2 linked regions of the Saccharomyces cerevisiae S288C genome follow. Changing the gene in region 2 together with the main gene of any one other region gives a genetic interaction. Each region holds a gene or a part of one and is shown on either strand. Other genes may lie near its edges.

What was found.
Region 1: mutations in BUD2 (region 2) and GEF1 together harm fitness more than expected from each alone (negative genetic interaction), as found in Saccharomyces cerevisiae (2 studies listed by BioGRID).

The regions. Positions count from the first base shown.
Region 1 is NC_001142.9:505,853-510,585, forward strand, and holds GEF1 (Gef1p), read left to right. Parts: upstream 1-1,893; coding exon 1,894-4,233; downstream 4,234-4,733. Other genes in the region: MLO127 (Mlo127p), read left to right, coding at 1-1,449; ribosome biogenesis protein URB2, read right to left, coding at 4,387-4,733. UniProt on the Saccharomyces cerevisiae protein: Anion/proton exchange transporter involved in iron and copper cation homeostasis. Involved in intracellular iron metabolism during growth on fermentable and non fermentable carbon sources.
Region 2 is NC_001143.9:265,580-271,139, forward strand, and holds BUD2 (GTPase-activating protein BUD2), read right to left. Parts: upstream 3,881-5,560; coding exon 566-3,880; downstream 1-565. Other genes in the region: MBR1 (Mbr1p), read left to right, coding at 1-229; YKL091C (phosphatidylinositol/phosphatidylcholine-binding protein), read right to left, coding at 4,139-5,071. UniProt on the Saccharomyces cerevisiae protein: Stimulates the GTPase activity of BUD1/RSR1. Participates in the regulation of bud-site selection.

The DNA of each region.
Region 1 (4,733 bases), on a different chromosome or scaffold from region 2:
CCTAACTCAGATTATTTTTTTATATATACAGCCGATACTATAATTTTTTTCAAGCCAAGTAAAATAAAAGGTAGATTTAAAATCCAAGAAGTATATGCACCATGTCCTATAAGCTGTTTGATACCTGGAGAAAAAGATGGCTCAGTTGTTATGGTTACTTCTCAAGGTCAATTTTACGACGTACTTGTTCCTGGTGATGCCGGAAGGGCTACTCTTTGTTCTAAGTTTGAAAAAGTTTTAAAAACATGTCTCAAATTTATAACTTTGGAATCTTCATCAAGATATGTGATTGTAGCGGCCCTGCCAGTAGCAAATCCATTGCAGGACAAGTATTCCGAAATTTATGTGTATGATATTAAACAGTTCAAAAACATTTCCGCATTCAATTTTTCTAACCTCAACAATGATATCGAGAGTATAAAATATGAAAACGCTATGATATCAGATATTATTGCCGTACCCATGCTCAAAAGAACCGAAACATTAGGAAAAAGAAAGACTTCTGAGCTGTATAAGGAAGTGATTTTCAATTCATGTATCTTGGTGTCTCTAAATTTAGACTCAATAGACGGTATTGATAGTAAAAATATGAATAACCTATTATTGTTTTCATTTGATGAGGAATCGGGTTTTATTGAATTTGTTTTTGGGATTAACACGGGGTTCTCAATCAGTGGGTTACATAACTATTACAATGGATGTGTTTTGGTTTATGGGGAGTTTGTGCAAGCTTATCAACTGAACTATTCAGTTCATGATAACAAGTTCAGTATTGAACAGGTTTCAAATAGGTTGAATATTTCTGGTATTACAATAACATCATCTATATTTTTTGATAAAAGGAAGGCAAAGATGGCTAGGAAGCAGCAAAATATAGGTACATGGGTTTATTTGGAAGAAATGATTTTACTTGATGTACGGAAAGGTGTGATGAGGTTCAATGTCATCCATACAACAGACGGTAACATAGAAAAGGTTCAATTGCAGGTACAGCCTCTGAATTTATTTGAGAGGGACCTCATCAATAGCATTACCGACACCGGGAAAATGTTTACCGGTGCAGCCGCTATAACTTTCAAGAATATTAGGTATCTACTAATTTCGTACGGTGATCAAAAGCTCACGTTATTTAGTTTAAAACTTGATGGTGAGGAAGAAATAGACGAAAGAGTGTACCATGTTGCTGAGCAAGTTACAACCATCAACTCTGTAAGAACTACTGATTCCAGAATGAGCACGTTTTTAGGCGAATCTACATTTATGCCCTTATTCTTAGTAAGTACCTTGTCTAACGGTTGTTATGTGATCGGAATCCTGCATGAAGAGTCAGATATCTCATTACATATCTTATCAGAAAAGAAAGCTGTCTTCGCAAAGCGGTCGGTTCAAAAGTTCCTGGGCTTCCTCGATCCTCAAATGGATGATCACACTGTAATATCTGAAATTTAGTGTCTACGTTATGATATATACACTTACAAATTTACTTTCCTTTTTTAGTATAGTTTTCAAGTAAAATTCTTGAAGCGGTGTTGTTTTTGTTTGTTCTTCGTTTAGCAAAAGTCATTGTTAAATACACGCTATAATATGGCCATGACCGTAGGACCGAATGCTGTCCGAAAAATGATACTTATCACACATTTCAAATAAGATCGGTTTTGTAGTTCAAAGATTTCTTAAGAGCCTTTTACGTGTTTCTTAAGAAACACTTCACATTGGCTATCATTATTAGTAAATAGATTTATATGATTTTCACTTATTAAGGACAGAAATGTCGCGATTTCGAACCCATAAAAAAAGGAAAAGCACCGCCTGTTCTCCAGTCTTCATAAAAGCACACCGTATAGAAAGGGCGGTGAATGTTGATCTTGCATACTATAAAATTATTTGACACTAATGCCAACAACTTATGTGCCAATAAATCAACCAATTGGGGATGGTGAAGATGTCATTGACACCAATCGATTCACCAATATTCCAGAAACGCAAAATTTTGACCAATTTGTTACAATTGATAAGATTGCTGAGGAAAATAGACCACTGTCTGTAGACTCGGACAGGGAGTTCCTTAATTCAAAATATCGACATTACCGAGAGGTTATATGGGACCGTGCAAAAACATTTATCACATTAAGCTCTACGGCCATAGTTATTGGATGTATTGCTGGTTTCCTACAAGTCTTCACGGAAACTCTGGTTAACTGGAAAACAGGTCATTGTCAGAGGAACTGGCTACTTAATAAATCCTTCTGTTGTAACGGCGTGGTTAATGAGGTTACCTCTACAAGCAATTTACTACTGAAAAGACAAGAGTTTGAATGCGAGGCACAAGGGCTTTGGATTGCCTGGAAGGGACATGTGTCCCCTTTTATAATTTTCATGCTTTTGTCAGTCTTATTTGCTCTAATTAGTACACTGTTAGTCAAATATGTTGCTCCTATGGCTACTGGTTCAGGAATCTCAGAGATTAAGGTATGGGTATCAGGTTTTGAATACAATAAGGAATTTTTGGGTTTCTTAACATTAGTCATTAAAAGTGTTGCCCTTCCTTTGGCTATTTCTTCGGGATTAAGCGTAGGTAAAGAAGGGCCCTCAGTTCATTATGCAACCTGTTGTGGGTACTTACTCACAAAATGGCTACTAAGAGATACTTTGACGTATTCATCGCAATATGAGTATATCACAGCAGCTAGTGGAGCAGGTGTTGCGGTTGCTTTTGGTGCTCCTATTGGTGGTGTCCTTTTTGGTTTGGAAGAGATTGCTTCTGCGAATAGGTTTAACTCCTCTACCTTATGGAAATCCTATTATGTCGCCCTAGTCGCAATAACTACTTTGAAGTACATTGATCCATTTAGGAATGGCAGAGTTATTTTATTCAATGTAACATATGATAGAGACTGGAAGGTACAAGAGATTCCGATCTTTATAGCCTTAGGAATCTTTGGTGGTTTATATGGAAAATATATTAGTAAGTGGAACATCAACTTTATTCACTTTCGCAAAATGTACCTGTCCTCATGGCCAGTTCAAGAAGTGCTTTTTTTGGCGACGCTTACTGCTTTGATTTCTTACTTCAATGAGTTCTTGAAATTAGACATGACAGAAAGTATGGGTATATTGTTTCATGAATGTGTCAAGAACGATAACACCTCAACTTTTAGTCATAGGTTATGTCAGTTGGATGAAAATACGCACGCTTTTGAGTTCTTAAAAATTTTTACTTCCCTATGCTTTGCCACTGTTATCAGGGCCTTGTTGGTGGTGGTATCATATGGCGCCAGAGTTCCTGCCGGAATCTTTGTTCCTTCAATGGCGGTTGGGGCCACATTTGGACGGGCAGTAAGTCTACTGGTAGAGAGATTTATAAGTGGCCCTTCTGTTATTACTCCTGGTGCCTACGCCTTCCTGGGAGCAGCCGCTACCTTGAGCGGGATAACTAACTTGACTTTAACTGTGGTGGTAATAATGTTCGAGCTAACAGGCGCCTTCATGTATATCATACCCCTTATGATTGTAGTGGCAATAACAAGGATAATTTTAAGCACGTCTGGTATTTCTGGCGGTATTGCTGATCAAATGATCATGGTTAATGGATTCCCATATTTGGAAGACGAGCAAGACGAGGAAGAGGAGGAAACCTTAGAAAAATACACTGCAGAGCAGCTCATGTCCTCCAAATTAATTACTATTAATGAAACCATTTACCTTTCCGAGCTTGAATCTTTGTTGTACGACTCAGCGTCTGAATATTCTGTGCATGGTTTTCCAATAACTAAGGATGAGGATAAGTTTGAGAAGGAAAAAAGATGTATTGGCTATGTTTTAAAAAGGCACTTAGCCAGTAAAATCATGATGCAAAGCGTAAATAGCACCAAAGCTCAAACGACACTGGTATACTTCAATAAGTCTAACGAAGAGTTGGGACATCGTGAAAACTGCATCGGATTTAAGGATATTATGAATGAATCTCCAATCTCGGTGAAGAAGGCGGTGCCAGTAACATTGTTATTCCGTATGTTTAAAGAGCTAGGTTGTAAGACTATCATCGTAGAGGAAAGTGGAATTTTAAAGGGGTTGGTCACTGCTAAAGATATTTTGAGGTTCAAAAGAATTAAGTATCGAGAAGTTCACGGTGCGAAATTTACATATAATGAAGCACTTGATAGAAGATGTTGGTCAGTTATCCATTTCATAATCAAAAGGTTTACCACTAATCGAAATGGTAACGTTATATGATTAGACATTTATGTAATTTTTAAGGCGCTAGTATAGATTATTCAAAATTATATGATACAGACTTTTATCAATTTTTACTTGTTTAAGCTCCGTCACCCTGTTATTAAACGTGAGCAGAGAAATGCCTTTTGAAAACACACTAAAACACATAAGTTAATCTTCGCGCCATTTACCAACCTTTTTGTATTGGAGGTAAAGTGCTTTGAAATATTGTTTCCCAGGTGTGTCAAGGAAAGCGTTCAATTGATTCAACTCGTTCTGAGATAATATATCAAAAATCGCATGAATACCGGGCTGCAGACTCTTTTTTATGTTTAAACTGAACTGCGTCGTAATAGACAACTGTATATATTTCGTTAGAACCACAAGTACATTTTTTCTGATGGACTGCTTTATCAAACTTATCTTTGAGCTTAAGTTATTTTTCTGCCCATTTTGAGCGTTTGATACATTATAAGGCTCGCAGTAGTTCGTTATTAGTCTGGCTACGGCGTCTGCTG
Region 2 (5,560 bases):
GCCCCGTGAAATATCATCGTGTTGTCCGAACGATACAGGGGACACCTCCTCATCATTATCACATTCGAACACTTCCTCATCACTAAATTTCCCTTTAGGTACAAATACAAATCAATTCCACCAACCAAGGCAGCCAGTACAACAGCAACAGTCTTCGAAACCAAACTTTGGTGCTGGGAGGAAAAAATCTTTCATTGAGATGTCACTAGCAAGTTCCTTTGCAGGCTAACATTCTCGCCACCTTGGAATAACCGTATGATGTTCAACTTTGTTATTTATTTCCACATTCTGGATCGCCATCTGTTCGTTTTTATTAAATATAATATATACCCATTTGTATCTCCTGTTTGGTTTCCAAATTTCCATATACTTATCGCTGTCTATCATCTCCTCTCGAAGCATTTTTTTATATACTATATTATGAGAAATCTTTCTGAAAAATTATGAATTACTTTTTTCTGCTGATAGTACAACCCGCTATATACTGTTACAAGTAGTGAATAAAGAAGTAAAAAAAAAAAAACTTTCAAAGGAAAGAATATGAAGTGAACATTTTTTTCTACGATTAAGATCCCCCTGTTTCTTTTTTCTTTTTGAACCATCTTGTCAGCTTACGGGAATTTTGTTCTTTAGGAACATCTGCGTTAGGAGGTTTCCTCATTATCCTAGATAACTTTGTCGGGGAAAATCTATTCCCCAAGTTACCTTTACCTTGCGAGTTTGGAAGCGTCAAGTAATCATCCTTGGCTCCATTTTCCGATGATGTTCCATGTACCGATGTTTTGTTGCTACTCTTGGGATTCTCATCACTTACATCAATAGTCAAAAATTTACAGTAACTATCTCCAACTGTGTTATTGGATTTACTAGAGACACCTTTTGTGAAGAATTTCTGCAATCTTGCGGAAGAGTTTTCATTTGTTGGTTTATTTAGTAGTTTAAGAACAATTTCTTTTCCCTCCTTTATTTCTTCATAAAAAATTTTATGTGAGAGTGAAATGGAGTATTTTTTGTCTTCAAACAAAGTGCTGGAAGCACATTCATAACCTGACAACCGTTTTCTAATATGATTAATCCTATTATAGAGTAAACATGACTCTTGCTCCAATTCTTTCATTGCATGCTTTTCCTCTTCTGCTTTCGGGATTATAGAATTAAATTTGATGCCTGAATTAGCGCCATTATCCAAATCTCTGCTTCTGGAACCTACATCATCGCTTTTCAGTAGGTTCATTAAATCATCTCCGAAGATCTCCGTGTTGTTTTCAGTTATTTTCTCAAATTCTAACTCTCCAATTTCTGGCTTAACCTCAATTGGTGAATCCAAATCTTTTTTATCCACAGACAAATTTAGGCTGCTACCGCTTAACAGGCCCTCCTCTTCGATTAATTCTCCCTTCCCACCATTATCCATGTGATTGTATTTTTCCATCTTGGTCATATCTTCCTGACTGAAATTAACAATCAAGTTAACAAACTCAGTTTCTCTCAAATTCTTATCAAGCAGATAAGGAATCTGAGGCAAATCATCCAACATCGTTTGTTCAATGGCCAATTTGGGTCTCGAAATAGTAGAACTTAGGTTCAATATCTTTGAATTAAAATCTAGTTTCTTTTGCGTCATTTTATCAATGTAATCTAATAAGTCATTGTGTCTTTTATCGATAAAGTTATTCATCTTCATTAGCCAGGGCTCTTTGTTTGCAAACTGCGTCAAAGTGGACAGATTAAGTAAAACTTTACTTATTAGGGTAAGATTCCTTCTTGCTGTTTCGTTTAAATTTTGAGAAACATATTTGAATAGCTTAGGGTTTAATATGACTGGACAAAAAAACCTTAAAAACAATAATCCTGATATACCATTCAAAATTATTTGCAAAGTGTCATCGATACAAATTATCTCTAGTTTTTGCCTAAAGATTTTTAAAACATTTCTTATTTCAATCGGCAGGTCATTACTCGTTGCATACAGCCTTTTCCAAATCTTCGTAACCCAAGAATACAATCGTTTGTAGTTGTCGGCAATTATTTTCCTCTTTTTTACTTCATCTTTTTCTTTTACTCTAGCAGGATCCAATTCACATGATTTGTTTGACTCAATGATCTCTTTTAGTATTGCACTAAGCGCTTTACTCAAATATTCATTACCCACTCTGAAAAAGTACTGTTCAATCGACTTTGTTAAGATAGAGTTACCACGGAATAAACTGTTGAAAACATGCTTTGAGTCTAAATTTTTCTGGTTTATTCTTGAAACCGTTCCATCAATTTTAGCCAATTCTTTGTCTATAAGGACGTGGAACCATTCTTCTATTCTTGACAAAGATTGGAATATATCGAGAAAAATTATGGATGTTTGCGTCAATTTGTTATCATTCTCCATTGATGAAGAAGATTTGTAAATTAGATTGGAAACCATGGACAAGTTTGCGTTCATCAAAAGTTTTTCCAATTTAACGAAATTGGTTGACGGTAAAATGAAGTTCAAATTTGAAGAAATTTTAATACAGATTGTTCCTATTTGAAAATTTTTGTTATCAACGTCCATGATGGGTAGTCTTGTTTCCTTATTATATCTTGTATCATTTATTATTTCTTGTGTGATTTTTATTTTGCCTATCAATCGTAACCGTTTTTTATTATTGAGATCGTGGAATAACTGCTTGATTTCCAGATAAGAATTAGTAAGTCTTAAAAGTTCATTGAACTGAAACTCTTCTCTCCAAAATGGATTAGAGGAGTTTGAAACCATGGATGTTCTAGCCCATGTATGGCCCCAGGCCGTTATGTCTGTGAATATTGACCATGGCGTATTATTCTTGTCATTTAAATTGATTGACTGAAAATTAGCTTCCAGTATGGAAATTTTAAAGCTATTCGATATCTTCATATCATTTGATTTATCTGAGCCAGTAATAGATAAGTATTCCGACCTAGCGAACGATTGTAACGCTATAAAACAATCCTCCAGGTCTATTCTTAAGGGAAACTCTACAATAATTTCTTGAGAAATATCACTAGAGTTGGTGGCAGCACTGGCAATATTTTCTATGCGAAACTTTTCGAGGCCCAACTGGCTCCTTAGTAATGGCAATTCACCTAAAAACAAACTGTTTTCACTTTGTAAAACAGATGAATCCAGAATTCTTATCTCTGATCTTAAAAGCTGGCTAATATTCAATGAGTAAATCAGAGAGCCGTCACTCTGTAAAAGAAGATCTAGCATGCCGTTTGATTTAAGCACCCCCATAGCGGAAAACCAACCTACGCTGTTGTCATCATTATTAATTATATCAGGGCTTTCTAAAATATTTGTTGCTGGCGGAAGGACGATGTTCTTAACGATGGGCCCAAAAACATTCAATTTGTAAACCAGCAAACTTTCTGGTTTCGCCATTTTTTTGCTTTTAAATTCTAGAGGTCGCGATACTTGAAACTTATTAAATATACCATTTGTCTTCATTGAGCTCCACCAGATCAGACATGTTAGCAATTTCTTGAAATCACTCCAACTTTTAACTCGCAGGTAAACTTTATTATCTTTACCTGAGGTGTTTACTTGGATTATAAAATTACAATTTGCATTAATATCCTTAAAAGAGGAATGCTTATCCTTAATAATCTCGATTCTACATTGCTGTAGATGTTTGATAATTGGCTGAATATTAGTAGAGTCTGCTGTTAACTCATCGATTGAGTGGGTTAGTGCACCTGTACTGGTAATTTGCAGATAGTGTGTCTTCCAGTCGTTTAAGGACAGGTTATTACACCACTGAATCTCACCCTTAAAGGTATTCTTGTAATGCTTAACGTTGGACAAAAATTCATTCAATTTGAAATATGATGTTCGACTTTGGGCCGGTTCATTGTTGGAGCTCATAATATGATACAATCAAAGATAAACACCACGACGTATGCACGGATAAAGTTTTCAGTCTGACCGAGTAGTTATTCCTACTATTTTGTTGTTTCTTCCTCCGTTTTCATAAATGGCGTTTGTTTGGATACCTTTCTTTTTTATCGAACAGAACGCGTTCAAGAATGAAAGTCATTAATTATTATTAGATACAGAGATATACATATTATAGAGTATGCATGCTATATTCACGGAAAGCTACGACGAAGGCCTGTATCATAGTTAGCTGGTAACAGTAAATTTACCAAAAATGTTGGGAATTTCACCTTCTGGTCCGATGTATCTAGGGTCTCTCCAGGGACCAATATCGGAATAGTAGAACTTATCATTAGGGTTGTGCAAGACAGATGTACCACCATATTTAACAGGCAAGTTCTCGATTGGAATTTGTTTTAATAATTCCTTTTTATAAGAAGAGCCAAGAATAAAGATTTTTGACACGGTTACTGGATCCAAGAAGGGTTTAACCATCTTGAACATCGTCGAGAAACCAAATGGACTGTGTATAATATAAAACTTACCCATTCTTTCAGGATAATAATTTTGACTGATATCTGCAACATCTTTAATATAGGAAAGCACATGATAAGCATTAGAAAGTGAGATACCCTTCAAGTCCAGCACAGTGCACGAAGTTTCAATAAGGTAGCCAGCTCTTCTCGAACACGCTGGGACCCGGTACGTGGCAAATAATTCGTACTCCTTGACTAAGTTTCTTAGCATCTGTTTTTCGGTAGTGATCTTGTACATTTTCTTTAAGTTAATTCCTCCTAGTTCTTCGAAGTACAATGGTCTCCCATCCTTATCAACGTGATGGTAATACTGAGGGTACATTTTGGCCAATTTGATTCTTTCTTTGTCTTCGGCTTCCTTGTTGTTTTCATAATCCTCGATAATAGTGTTGGCACCGTATTCTTCCCTCCATCGTTCAGTTTCTACAAACATCTCAACGCTAGCATTGATATCAAATTTCCTTGCCCGTAGAAATCGCAATAGCGTAGAATCATCCAGCCTTTCTTTGTAATTCTTTTCTAACAAGATTGACCTAAATTGCAAAAGCGCTTCCTCTTGCTCCTTAGTCAAATTGCCGGGAGTACCTGGCAAAGCATTGGGGGAGCATATTTGAGGATAAGTATCGAGTATGCTGGTTGTCATTCTTCCTTTCCAGTTTTAACAGTGCGCAAATGTATTGCTTTTCAGATTTATTTCCCCGTTATACAAGTTCAAGGAAATGTTTGAGTAGAGAGAATCACGATCTAAATAATAATCCGAAGAATTTAAAAAGGAGTAAATAGGGGCATACAAGAGGGGGAATTTCAGAAGTGCCTGTTATGTAAAAAAGATATGATAACACATAATGGATTGCATACCAGTAAATTTCCATATGTACTATGCCGACCTCTTTTCATGTAAACGCCTTGCAAATTCATACTTAATGATTACAAGAAAGTAATATGTAAATTTTAAGCTCAGGTTCAAGGTTTATAAGGGCCTTCGTCTCTGATAGAAGAATCAAGTTGGTAAATCCAAATGGAAGTACGGGTCCCAATAGCAGGTTTGATTTTTGAAGGTGACTCGAGATATATCAGCTGCCGCCCCTGAATCAGCAGTAATTATAACTGAAGAGAACGGACAATGTTTTAC